Notamacropus eugenii: one gene and its partners. The protein of the gene in region 2 interacts with the protein of the main gene of each other region in a pairwise test. Links are inferred from orthologs where the notes say so. Each region holds a gene or a part of one and is shown on either strand. Other genes may lie near its edges.

Region 1 (3,751 bases), about 270 Mb from region 2:
GAGAAATACAGTATGATGGAAACTCCCTCATTTCAGTTGTGTGCCATAAACAAAATGACAGGGAGAAACTAGAGAGGAGAAAAATCTGTTAACCTATGCATATTTCTCAATTATTACACAAGACAACCAGAGTTTGGCAGGTCAGTGCCAATTACATTATTTTCTTCATTAACATTGTATGCCCTGTTATTTTTTCCTGAAGCATCATTAATATGTGTTTCAAAGGATACATTATTTAAACACTTATTAGGAATTCCTTGAACTAGTTTAATTAGAATCCAAAATATAGTGATAGTGCCAAAGCAATTAGTACTCTGTCATATACGCTAAAAGTTTCTCTGTCAGATAATAGATTAAAACATGGAAACAAACTGGTTAAAAATAAAGGAAAAAGAAAAAACAGAAAGAAAATATTTAATTAGCTTATAAGAATAAAAAAAATTGACTTACTACTCTTAAAACCTTCCCTTATTAGAATGATTGCCAGACTACAAAGAGAAAAACAGCACAATTTACACAAATGCAAACAGCAAAGAAATAGAACTGTGTCTTCCAGTAAATAGCTTCCTTTTAACATATAAAGAAAAAAAGAATGAAAGTAACTGATAATTTAATTTTATCCATCACTGTTTTTTTGTCTTAATACATTTCAATGTCACAATACAGTAATCAGAACCAAATTCACATTCCTCCTGAGAATAGAGTATTAAATTATTGATGTTTAGTGACATTGCTTATGCATTAAGGTAATCATGTTCTGTATGTAAGTATATTTCACCCACAAATGATTAGCAACTATGTATGAAAGCTCAGCATTATCCTGTCCAGATAGTTTGTCCATTTAAAATGGATGTTCAGTAGAAGCAATGCACACAGTTAAACATAATGATTTCGGCACTGGCTACCTAAGTTTTGCTATGTTATTATATTTTTTAAAAATTTCCTTCCCTTATTGAGAAGGAAAGTTCAGGAACACAAAGGGTTAAGATTTGTTTAAATGTCTTTGAGAAGAATGATCTTTTGTCACTATACTCCTTACTAGCTTCTTTCTCTTTAGGATTCTGTATACGTCTCCCAATAATTACAAACCAGAACTTAATGAAGACGAATTAGAAATGTTTGATCAAAAGTGTCCAATAAAGAAAAAAATTAATTTAAAGGAATATAAAAAATTGAATCATTTAGAAATGAGAAATTAATCTTTAAATTTGTAAAACCTGAAATATTCTTGAGTGGCATAGAAAAAATAGTCAAGGACTGAACATGACTAGCCAAAGTTAGCATAAGCTTTGAAGCTGCCCTTACTGTCAAAGCAATAAAGAGGTACACACAATTTGTTTGACCAAGAAGTGTACTGTAGCAAAGTGGGGGTGTGAGAACTTATTTCATATTTCAAGGAAAATAGAAAGTAATTTAAACCATTTTAGTTAAATTAACCAGATCACTGAACTTAGAACTAGAAGAGAACTTATATTTCAAGATAGAGTTGTTATTTTTTGGAGGGGAAGCAATGTAGATAATGGCTTATTAACAGAAATACTTAATTTTTTCCATCAAATATGGGTGATGGACACAATCACTGTAATTACAAAGCACCAAATGGGAAGTGCTGTACAGAAGCGATTACTGTCAATTAGAGTGAAACCTGGGCTTCTTTGAATTCTGTTACCAAATAACTAAAGAATACAATGCAATATAGAAAAGAATAAGTACACTCAAAGTCCTGCCTACTGGTAGAATGAATAGATTTGGGGAACAGAACAAAACTAGTTCACCCAGTGATAACAACAGCTCCCTCACCCCTCCAAATCCTCACTCTCATTAGCACACTTTTATGAGAATATTTGACTTTCAGAGCTGAATCATTTTAAAAGTAACTACGATTCTTCCCTATTGCACAAAGACTGAATACAATAGAACCACAAACTTAAAAGAGGAAGGGGGCTGCGTTTGAAGAGAAAACAGTACATATTTGGTATGATGTAATAGGGACAGATAGAAATGCTGCCCTTGAATCCTACCTAGCAATATCTTCTGAGGAGAAACAAAAAGGGAAAATATAGCCTAACGATATGGCCATAAAATAATCATGTTACTTTCTGATATAAAATGAGGGTGTCAAAGCCCACTAGTTAAAATTATTTTGAACTGACTCCATTTTTTAGGATGTCTTAAGTGTATATTTGCTTTTAAGCTCTGTGCCGCCGGCCCCCACCCCCCACCCCTCAAATGACAAACGCAAGATATTTATCCGAAAAGAATCCTCATCAGGCCAAATAAAATTAAATAAAACCAACAATCAAATATCAGAACACTTTGCTGCTACTACAATATGCAGAGCTCCCTGAATCTTTGAGAACTTCTTGAAGGTAAAATAACCTTAGCAGAATGCAGTATTCAAGGAGGATACCTGATAAGGGAAAGAGACAGACGGGGTTTACTAAGATTATCCGAGTACCATTCACGTTCTCTGGAACCAGTAGCTAGCTAACCTACACCCAGTCTTTAGAGGCAACGTATACTCCAAGCAGTAGTTTCCAAAGAAAAACAACCAAACAAACAAGCAAACCTTTTTTTTAAGTTTGGTTAAGAACTTGCTTACCAAATTCCTCTCTGCTTGAGGTGATCGGAGCCATGTTTGCTGCGTGCTCTGTCCGAGGTACTGAATAGCAACCCCTGGCTTGCCTCACTATGAAAGCGACTGTTTTTCTCTTCCCAGAACGAGAGGCTGGATTTTCCTCGTGATGCAAACACCAACGTGCAGCCCAGGGGACCTTCAAGAGCAAGCAAGTGGGAGCGGGGGGGGCCTGAGGAAGCAGAGACGGAGTTCAGTTCTCCTTCACGCAGAGATTTGCCACCCCCTTTCCTGTTTTGGCTCTTCTGAGTAGCTCCGCTCTTACATTGTAGACGTGGTTGAAACCCAAATTGACGCAATCCTGACGCTACAGGGCTGAAATCAGCACCTGCCCTCCTCCCCTTCCATTTTCCCTATCCTCCACCCCTTCTTCTTTCTCTAGTTTCTCCAGAGGATTCAACACACACTCATCAATTATTTTAACTGCTCTGCTACAGGAGATTAGCTGTCTTATTCAGTGGGACACAGAAGCAGACTAAGATAGAAGTCCCTAAACTCAATCTTGTCAATCCATAACATAAAATGTTTGGACTTCATGGGTGGGTGGGAGCGTATCTCAGTGTGTCAGCGTTGTGATGCAAGGAGGGGATTAAGGGGCAAGAAAAAAGAAAAAAAAAACCAGTTCCATGTGATCCATTTCAATTACACACACATACACACACACACACACACACACACACACTTTATTCTCATGTTTCTTTCTTCAAAGCAATATACATGTCAGAAAAAAAAATTCACAGCTGACTGACACATTTAAAATAAAACTACCAAGATTTTCCCCTTTCATCTTCCCTTCTTCTCTTCTTCCCTCCCTATCAGTCCTGTTATCAACATAACTTTTCTGGTGATAGTGTTAACAACTATTCCATTCTAACACTGCAAGCCTATTCTATCTAATATCTGAAATTTCATCTAGTAAAGTGCTTAGGAAAAGATGGGAATAATCACTTTTGTTTTCAAAGCCCTTCCAGATGTCCTTTCATCTTTGATGAAATTCAGTGAGTATTTTAAAGAAACTTTAGGGATGATGAATTTGGTTATAAACCCTGACTGCTAATGTATGGAAAAAGAAGAATATCTTAAAAGTTTGAAAATATCTAGCTTGGTGTTGGTAGT
Region 2 (3,751 bases):
GCTGGAAGAGGCCAAGTCAGCACTCAACCTCCAGTGTTCTAGCTCCTACAAGCTCTATGCACAGACTACAAAAAGGCAGGAGGCTGGAGAGCTACCAGGGTCACCTGGTTTTGGGATGGAGTCAAGAACTATATTTGGAGTCAGAAGACCTGAATTCAAATTCTGATGCCCAGGAGCTTATTGCCCAAGTGGCCTCAATTTCACCATTTAAAAAATGAGAGGGTTGGACTAGATCTCTAAAGGTTCTAAATCTATGATACTCCAGGACGTCTAGGAGTCTCTTCAACCTTAAAGTTCTATTACAACTCCATGAGAATATAACTTTATCCATTATTACTCTGGGATACAACTTTTGAAGCAGGGTCAGAACTCCTCTTTCAATTACTCTCTAAAACGTTCAGGACACTGAGCATGAACATTATTACCCAGCCAAGCCTTGGGTGGTCCTCGCTGTCCCATATAACCCCTTCAAATTATACATTGTTATCGTTACAATTTAACTTTTGTCCTTCCTGAAACTGTCAGTACCTTGAGAGAGGGAATTTTTTTTTCTTTTTATTTCCACGACATGACATAGTAGTAGAAGGAGTAGTGGATTTATAATCACTGGACACGTATTATCCTGGCTCTGAAACTTACTAGCAGTGTGGCCTTCAGCAAGTGCCATCACTCTCCCTTGGCTTCAATGTTCTCTCTGTAAAATGAGGGGAACAGAACCAATGATCTCTAAGATCCTACGATGGGGCCATAGTTGGAGCCCAATGAAGGCTTGCTAAGTTGAGCAGCTAGGTGGTAGAGTGACTAGAGCGCTAGCCCTGGAGTCAGGAGGATCTGAGTTCAAATCAAAGTCACTTAACCCTGACTACCTTTACAAATAAAAAGAGTAAATAATTCCTTTGTTTCTTTTGGAAACAAATCAATATCTCTTCTATGCCTGTCCCTCAGCCAGTCAAAAGACAGCAAAACCTGTTGACTATAAGAAGACTTCCATCCCACTTAGACCTTTCTTGATTTCTGCCTACTCAGCCATCAATCAATCCTACCCTCCCACAGCTCCACTAAATGACCAGCAGACTGTTATTGGTTGGGGCAGTACGGCAGCTGTGTTAGAAATGGCGCTGGACTGGGAGCTAACACAGCTTTTGGGGGTCTGGCTCTGCCACTTACCGGCTAAGTGACCCCTGGTAACCCACTTCATGTCTCTGAGTCTCTGTGTTCTCACGTGCCCCGTGGGGCTGTCATGCCCTCCTACCTCACAGGGGTGCTATGAGCACCCAATGAGATAACACCTGGATGGGGCTTTGCTTTCAAAGCACAGCAGGAGTGTGAGGGATCGATCGCTAAGCCCAGTGCAAACTATTAAAACCAGAATCTCTGGAAAGGCTTTTTTTTTTTTTAAACGTGAATTAGAGCCTAAGACGGAAAAGAGCCCTTAGACTTAGGTTTAAGTGGCAGGGGTCTAATATTTAATAATGACCTTGGACAAGTCCCTTCCTCTCCCTGTGCCTCAGTTTCCTCCACTAACGCTACGAGCAGTTCTGGCCCTACCTACCTCACAGGAGAGGACTGGGTGCGGTGGCGAAACCTTTGGACTGGGGGATCCGAGGCCCCAGGTTCGAATGCGGACGGTGGGGGGGGGGGAGAGGGGAGAGACCCTGGACAAGTCCCTTAGCTTCTCCGGGTCTTAGGCTCCTCCGCTGTAAAAGAAGGGGGTTGGCGGGGGGCCTAGGAGAGAGATTCATGGACTCTGGGGAAACGGGAGAAAATGAGCCCTTGCTCAATCCTCGGGCCCCTCCGCTCCCGGAGCCCGGACCCTCGCCCTCCTGCAGAGGCCGCGGCTTCTCCACTGCCTTCCACCGGAGGAGCCGGAGCCTGGGCCGGGGCCTCCCTCCTGCCGGCCGCCCGCTCGCCTCGGGGAGCCGGCCGCGCGGGGCAGAGCAGCCGAGGCGCACAGCTCCGACACCCGGGGCGGAGGAGGAAGGGCGTCGCGGCCTCCCTGCCCTCAGCCGCTCGGCGGCCGCCAGCGCTGCAGTCGCCACTCACCTTAACAAGCTGCCGAGCCCCCGACTCCGCTCCGCCGCCTGCTGCGCCTGCGCCCACGCCTGCGCACCTCGCCGGTCGTCCCACCTCTTCCCCTCTGCCATGGCGATGGCGCGGAGGCAGTGCCCGGCTCCGCCCCCTCGCGGTTCTCGCGGGCCTCGGCCTAAAGACCTGCGGCGCAGGCGCGGATGACGACGGGCCCTAGATCAGGCAGAGAGAAGGCCCGGGCTGTAGTACTATTCACCGACCGGAAGTCTCGGTTCCAGGCTTTGCGTTTTGTGGGCCGGAAAAAGGAGGCCCGGAGTGTTGCATTGTGGGAGGACTCCATCCTCTCCTCCCCCTCCTCCCCCGCCCGCTCTTTTTTTTTCCCCCCCGCAAAGAATGATGTCATTTTCTCTTATTCCGTGACGAATTCGGTCACGTGCGTCTGCTCGCGTGCGCCCTGTGCCTGCCACTTACTTCAACTGTAACTTTGTAACTTTGGACAGCTCACCTTCCAGGCTAAATTCCGTTCGACTCAAAGAGCATCGTATCAAGCGCCTTCTCTGTAAGAAGGATACAAAGACAGACGGACGGACAGACACAAACGACCAACTGCCCCTGCTCCCTAGCACCTTCTGGTCTTCAGCCTCTGAACCTCGTTTTCCTCTTTTGCAAAATGTATACTCTTAAAAATTACCAACATTTGTATAATTTATAATCATATGATATATAGACATACTTTGTGTTCATATAGACCATATAATTTCCGTTTATAACATATATGTATATAATCTATATTTGATGTATAAATGCATGTAATAGATAAGTATTATTTCAAGTTTTTTTGTATTTATATGTTATGTAAATGTATAGTATATTTGTATATTGTATATTAATATACTTACATAGTAAAGCTTTGAAATTTGCAAAGCACATTACATGAAATTAATCCATTTGAGCCTCCCATCAACTGTTGTGTAGTTAGATAATATATTATTTGCATTTTACTAATGAGAAAATTGGGTGTCCCAAAGGATAAGTGATTTGCTCAGTCTCATAAACAACATAAGAGTTCTATAAGTTCTTACTATGTGAGCAAAGCTCTGGGCTAAGTGCTGGGGACACAGATAAAAGGAAAGAAGAGGAAACTTACCCTCAAAGAGCTTAAATTGTAATGATGAAAGACAGGACATAAAGAGAAGCAGCAGCCTACCCCACTGGATGGTTGGGAGGAATTTCACAGAATTTTGAGTTGATAGGCAGCACCACAGGGTCCACCTAGGTCAAGAGAATCTTTAAAAAACATCAACGAAGACCTTTTTTAAAAAAATTTAATATTTTATTTTTCCCAATTACACGTAAAAACAATTTTAGCATTCTTTTTTCAGATTTTGAGTTCCCAATCATCTCCCTCTCTCTCATCCCCCTCACTGAGAAGGCAAGCAATTTGACATAGGTTATACATGTGTAGTCATGTAAAGCACATTTCCATGTAAGTCATGCTGTGAAAGAAAACACAAAAAAAAACCCCAACAACAATAAGAAATAGAAAGCAAAAATATCTTCAATCTGCACTCAGCTTCCATCAGTTCTTGAAAACCTTTTGGTAAGGCTACCAGCTGCTGCCTAGGTTGAGGCAACTTCTTTCATTTTAGAAAAACTAATGAGTAGGAAATTTCCCTTATTTGGAGCCTGAATCTGTATAAGGCATGATCGGTTCAGACCCCCT
Region 3 (3,751 bases), on a different chromosome or scaffold from region 2:
TTTCACCGCTCTTTATTTTATCTTTACGTGCATATCAGGTACAGTTACTATCATGAGGGATCTCGGATATTTTTTGATATACCAAAAAGTGTCCTGATACGCAAAGACATTCAAGAAACCTCCTGATATCAATTACATTCCATCCCATTCAACATACTGAAGAAGATGCAGTGATGAGATAGTATATGTTTCTTACCTTTAAGGAACTCACAGTCTAGTGGGAGGGGGAGAGACAAGCTCAGCAATAACTAAAATACAAGTTGGAAAGTGATTCAAGTGCCCAAGATAAGCTCAACATAGAGGCCTGAGAGATTCAAGGAAGAAGTCAATACCAGTGCAATATAAAATTTTTGAGCCCAGTGACTATTTCATTTTTGTGCTTGGTAAAGAGCCTTGGAAAGTAGGCAGAGAGAGGGCACATAGAAGGCACTTATTAGAGGTTTGCTAAATTGAGTTGAATTCTTGCTGGGGCTATCAGGGAATGCATCTGAGCAGGATCTTGAGGAAGAGGTTTTCAGCAGATGGAGAGATGAGCATGGGACAAGTCAGTCCCAGGTGTGGAGAGCAGCCTGAGTGAATGCACGGAGTCAAGTAGACAGGACAAGACCAGGTAATGGCTAGTCACTCAGGGTGACTGAGTCAGATTGTGTGAAGGGGAGAATTTTAAGACTGGAAAAATGGACTGAAACCAGACTGTGAAAGGTCTTGAACCCCTAAATAAGGAATTTATATTTTTTTCTGGTAAACAATGAGGAACCTTTGAACATTTTTGATGAAGGCAGGGACATGGCTCAAGCTGTGTATTAGGAAGATTATTCTGGTAGTGCATCCAGGATGGATTGGAAATGATGAGAGGATAGAATTGGAGAGATCAGTCAAGGGGCTATTACCAGATGAGAAATGATAAAAGTAGTGGTAGGGGTGCAAAGGAATGGGTGGATACAGGAGACATTTCAGGAGTATCACAGCTTGGCCCAACAGTTGATCTGATGTTGGGAATGAAGGAGGGGGAGAAGACAAAGATGAGCAAGCTTTCTAAGTGTGTTCCCACTCCCAGGCAGGCCTTCAAAGGATAGGCTTGTGATTTTGCATGCATGCAGGGAGATAAGACTCCTGATTGGTGGAGAGATTTCTGAGAGAGAAGCAGAGAATGAAGAGACTATGGAGAGAGGAGGCAAGATGGAAACTCTGAATAGTGAACAGGTGGCCCCAAGAGCCATAGGCACGTGAGGAGGAGCTGGCACCCCAGTATGTCATTTGATTCCCAGTGTCTGCCCAGAGTGGACTTTGTGGATGAAATTTTTCTCTTTCTGCTTGAGCTGAGATTTCATCTCTTTCCTGGGTCTCAGAGCCCTTTTATGCTTGTTTTATTTTATTACCTACACTAATTTGAATGGCTCCCCAGATTTCCATCTTACTTGTTTGCTTTAATAAATGACTGCTTGCTATCCGTGATTGTGTAATAAATGTTTGGTGAAAGGGGGAGTGAAGGTTGTTGAGATTAAGCTGTTATCTTCTAGCCTTAAATGAAACTACTTTCCACTACCCTCACCTTCCCTGACTGGGGAAAGTGGTTTTTTTCCTGGAACTAGAAAAATAATTCTTCCCCTAGACTACAAACACCTGATGTGTGGTACATAGAATTCTAGTGCAGTGCCCTTCTAGAAAATAGGGAAACAAAGAAATGGTTGATTGCCCAGTCTTGGCTGCTCTACTGCTTTCCACAAGGGTAAAACTCTATGTTTCCCTGGGGAATGGCTTGGTAGGGCATTGCAGATCTATCAAGAAATCCTTGTTTAGTCAGGCCAAGACCTTTTTCACATGATCCACCTTGTTGCACTACCAGTTTGGGTGACTAGCAGCTTAGAGCTTGGAATCCCTTTTCCTGAAGCCCAGGGAAAATTCTCTGCAACCTTTCCCTTTCCACCCCAGGCCCTTACCCCCACTAAATCCCATAAAAATCCTCAGACCCCTTGTATTCAAAGGAAGTTTGTAAGAGCTGTGAAACAGGTAGAGCCAAAAGGAACCAGAGGCCTGGGGAAAGAGAGCAGTTCTTTGAAGCCTTCAGCAGGAGCTGTCCAACCTGGGGGTCTGTGGCCCAAGTTTTCCTCAGTTCCTAAGTTGCATTGTGGATGGGAAGGATGGGAAGGTGGGCAGAATAAGATGCCTTGACCTCTCTAAGAGGGAGGGATCAAGACTTACCATGGAAAGTGCAGATGATTCCTCCCAAGAGGACAAGGACCAGGAAGGATCGCATGGTCTGGAAAGAAGATACAGTGGCATCAAAAAACCATAGGGCAATATGATTTATTTACTTACATTCTAAATTTTCTTTTTTTTTTCTAATTATGAACTTAACAACCATCAACAAATAAAAACATTTTCCTACACAAAGAGCAAAAATGTATGATGAATCTTGAATCCAAATGTACCTTTTTCACAGTTATTCTTAGAGGGATTATTAAATTTAATAAGGTAGTAACAAAATAGTCCTCTTTCTTATCATTCTTCTTTTTTATATATTTAAAATATTTTATTGATGCTCTTTTTTTGTCTTTCTGCCACTAACTGCTAACTCCTCTGCTGCTGTGACCCACTCCATACCATTGAATCCCAACCCATCTCTTGTAATAAGTAGAGTCAAACAAAACAAATCAACGTCTGAAACCTCATTTTGCACCAGTATTCCACCATCTCTCTGCCAAGAGGTGGGAGGCATGTCATAGAATTTAGAGCTGAAAGAAACCTTAGAAACCTAGAATTAAGCCAAAAGTGGGGAGTAACTTGTCTAATGCCATAAAGCTGCAGAAAGCTAGGATTACAACCCTAGTCCTCCAGAGATAAGGCCCTGTGGACCTAGCCTGAGAGATAGTTAGAAAAGGAGGAGAAATGGTTGCATAGAGCAAAGATTACATAGTGATCACAGGCCCACAGATTTAGAGTTGGGACCTTGGAGCCTATAAAGTCTAACCTGTCCATTTTACAGATGAGGAAACTAAGGCTGAGAGGTTACATGTCTTGTCCAGAGTCATAGCTAGCAAGTGATTAAGGCATGATTTGAACTTGGGTATTTTTTCATTCTAAACCCAGAGTTGTACCCATTGCTCCACTTAGTATCTTGAGGAACTCATTCCTTCTATTTTGTCCCATGCTTCTGAACCCCTGTAGATTATAGCTACTCATCTCTCTCTCTCCCTTCTGATCTTTCCCATTTCCCATTCCCTTGTCTTACCCCTCAGATCCTGGGCCCATCTGCTTCCCCATCTCTTCCTTACCTGTTCTGGGCTGAGTGCTTTGCTGGTCTCCACTCACCCAGGAGATTTATACTTACCCATTGTTTATTTAGATGAGTGTGAGTTCTTTCTGGTGACAGTTGGCTTGGCCCAGCCCAGCCCTGCCTCTTAGAGAGCCCTCCAAGTTTTCTTTTAGACTTCTCAGGGCTCTTCATGATAGTTGCCACTCAAATGGTGACGATAGGGCTTACCTGAAGTTAGCTAAGAAATGTTCTTGGATGTGTAGTGCTACGTATGTACAGACCCTTGCTGTATAGAAGAGAGGGTATAGGGGCAACAAAGAATTGAGACCACCTTTTCTTCCCCTGCCAAGAGAAATTTCTATCCTGGACCCTGACTGATGGTTTCTGGGCATTTTGGAGGTGGTCCCTAGGCCCTGAGGTATAGGTAGGGGATGCATCCTCTTAGAGTTGAAAGAACCCTGGATTTGGACTCAGGACCAATGTGTTTGACCTTGT

The links.
Region 1: the proteins of SGTA (region 2) and SYT4 interact in binary tests that used the Homo sapiens proteins (3 or more experiments, as listed by UniProt). The two-hybrid records come from large-scale screens. The link is inferred for Notamacropus eugenii from reciprocal best matches to the Homo sapiens genes SGTA and SYT4.
Region 3: the proteins of SGTA (region 2) and prostatic spermine-binding protein-like interact in binary tests that used the Homo sapiens proteins (3 or more experiments, as listed by UniProt). The two-hybrid records come from large-scale screens. The link is inferred for Notamacropus eugenii from reciprocal best matches to the Homo sapiens genes SGTA and ZG16B.

The regions. Positions count from the first base shown.
Region 1 is NC_092875.1:331,133,816-331,137,566, reverse strand, and holds the start of SYT4 (synaptotagmin-4), read right to left. Parts: upstream 2,927-3,751; 5' UTR 2,637-2,926; coding exon 2,603-2,636; intron 1-2,602. UniProt on the Homo sapiens protein: Synaptotagmin family member which does not bind Ca(2+). Involved in neuronal dense core vesicles (DCVs) mobility through its interaction with KIF1A.
Region 2 is NC_092875.1:63,000,425-63,004,175, reverse strand, and holds the start of SGTA (small glutamine-rich tetratricopeptide repeat-containing protein alpha), read right to left. Parts: upstream 2,129-3,751; 5' UTR 2,044-2,128; intron 1,674-2,043; exon of another isoform or gene 1,553-1,673; intron 1,243-1,552; exon of another isoform or gene 1,168-1,242; intron 1-1,167. UniProt on the Homo sapiens protein: Co-chaperone that binds misfolded and hydrophobic patches-containing client proteins in the cytosol. Mediates their targeting to the endoplasmic reticulum but also regulates their sorting to the proteasome when targeting fails.
Region 3 is NC_092872.1:56,084,828-56,088,578, reverse strand, and holds the start of prostatic spermine-binding protein-like, read right to left. Parts: upstream 2,258-3,751; coding exon 2,203-2,257; intron 1-2,202.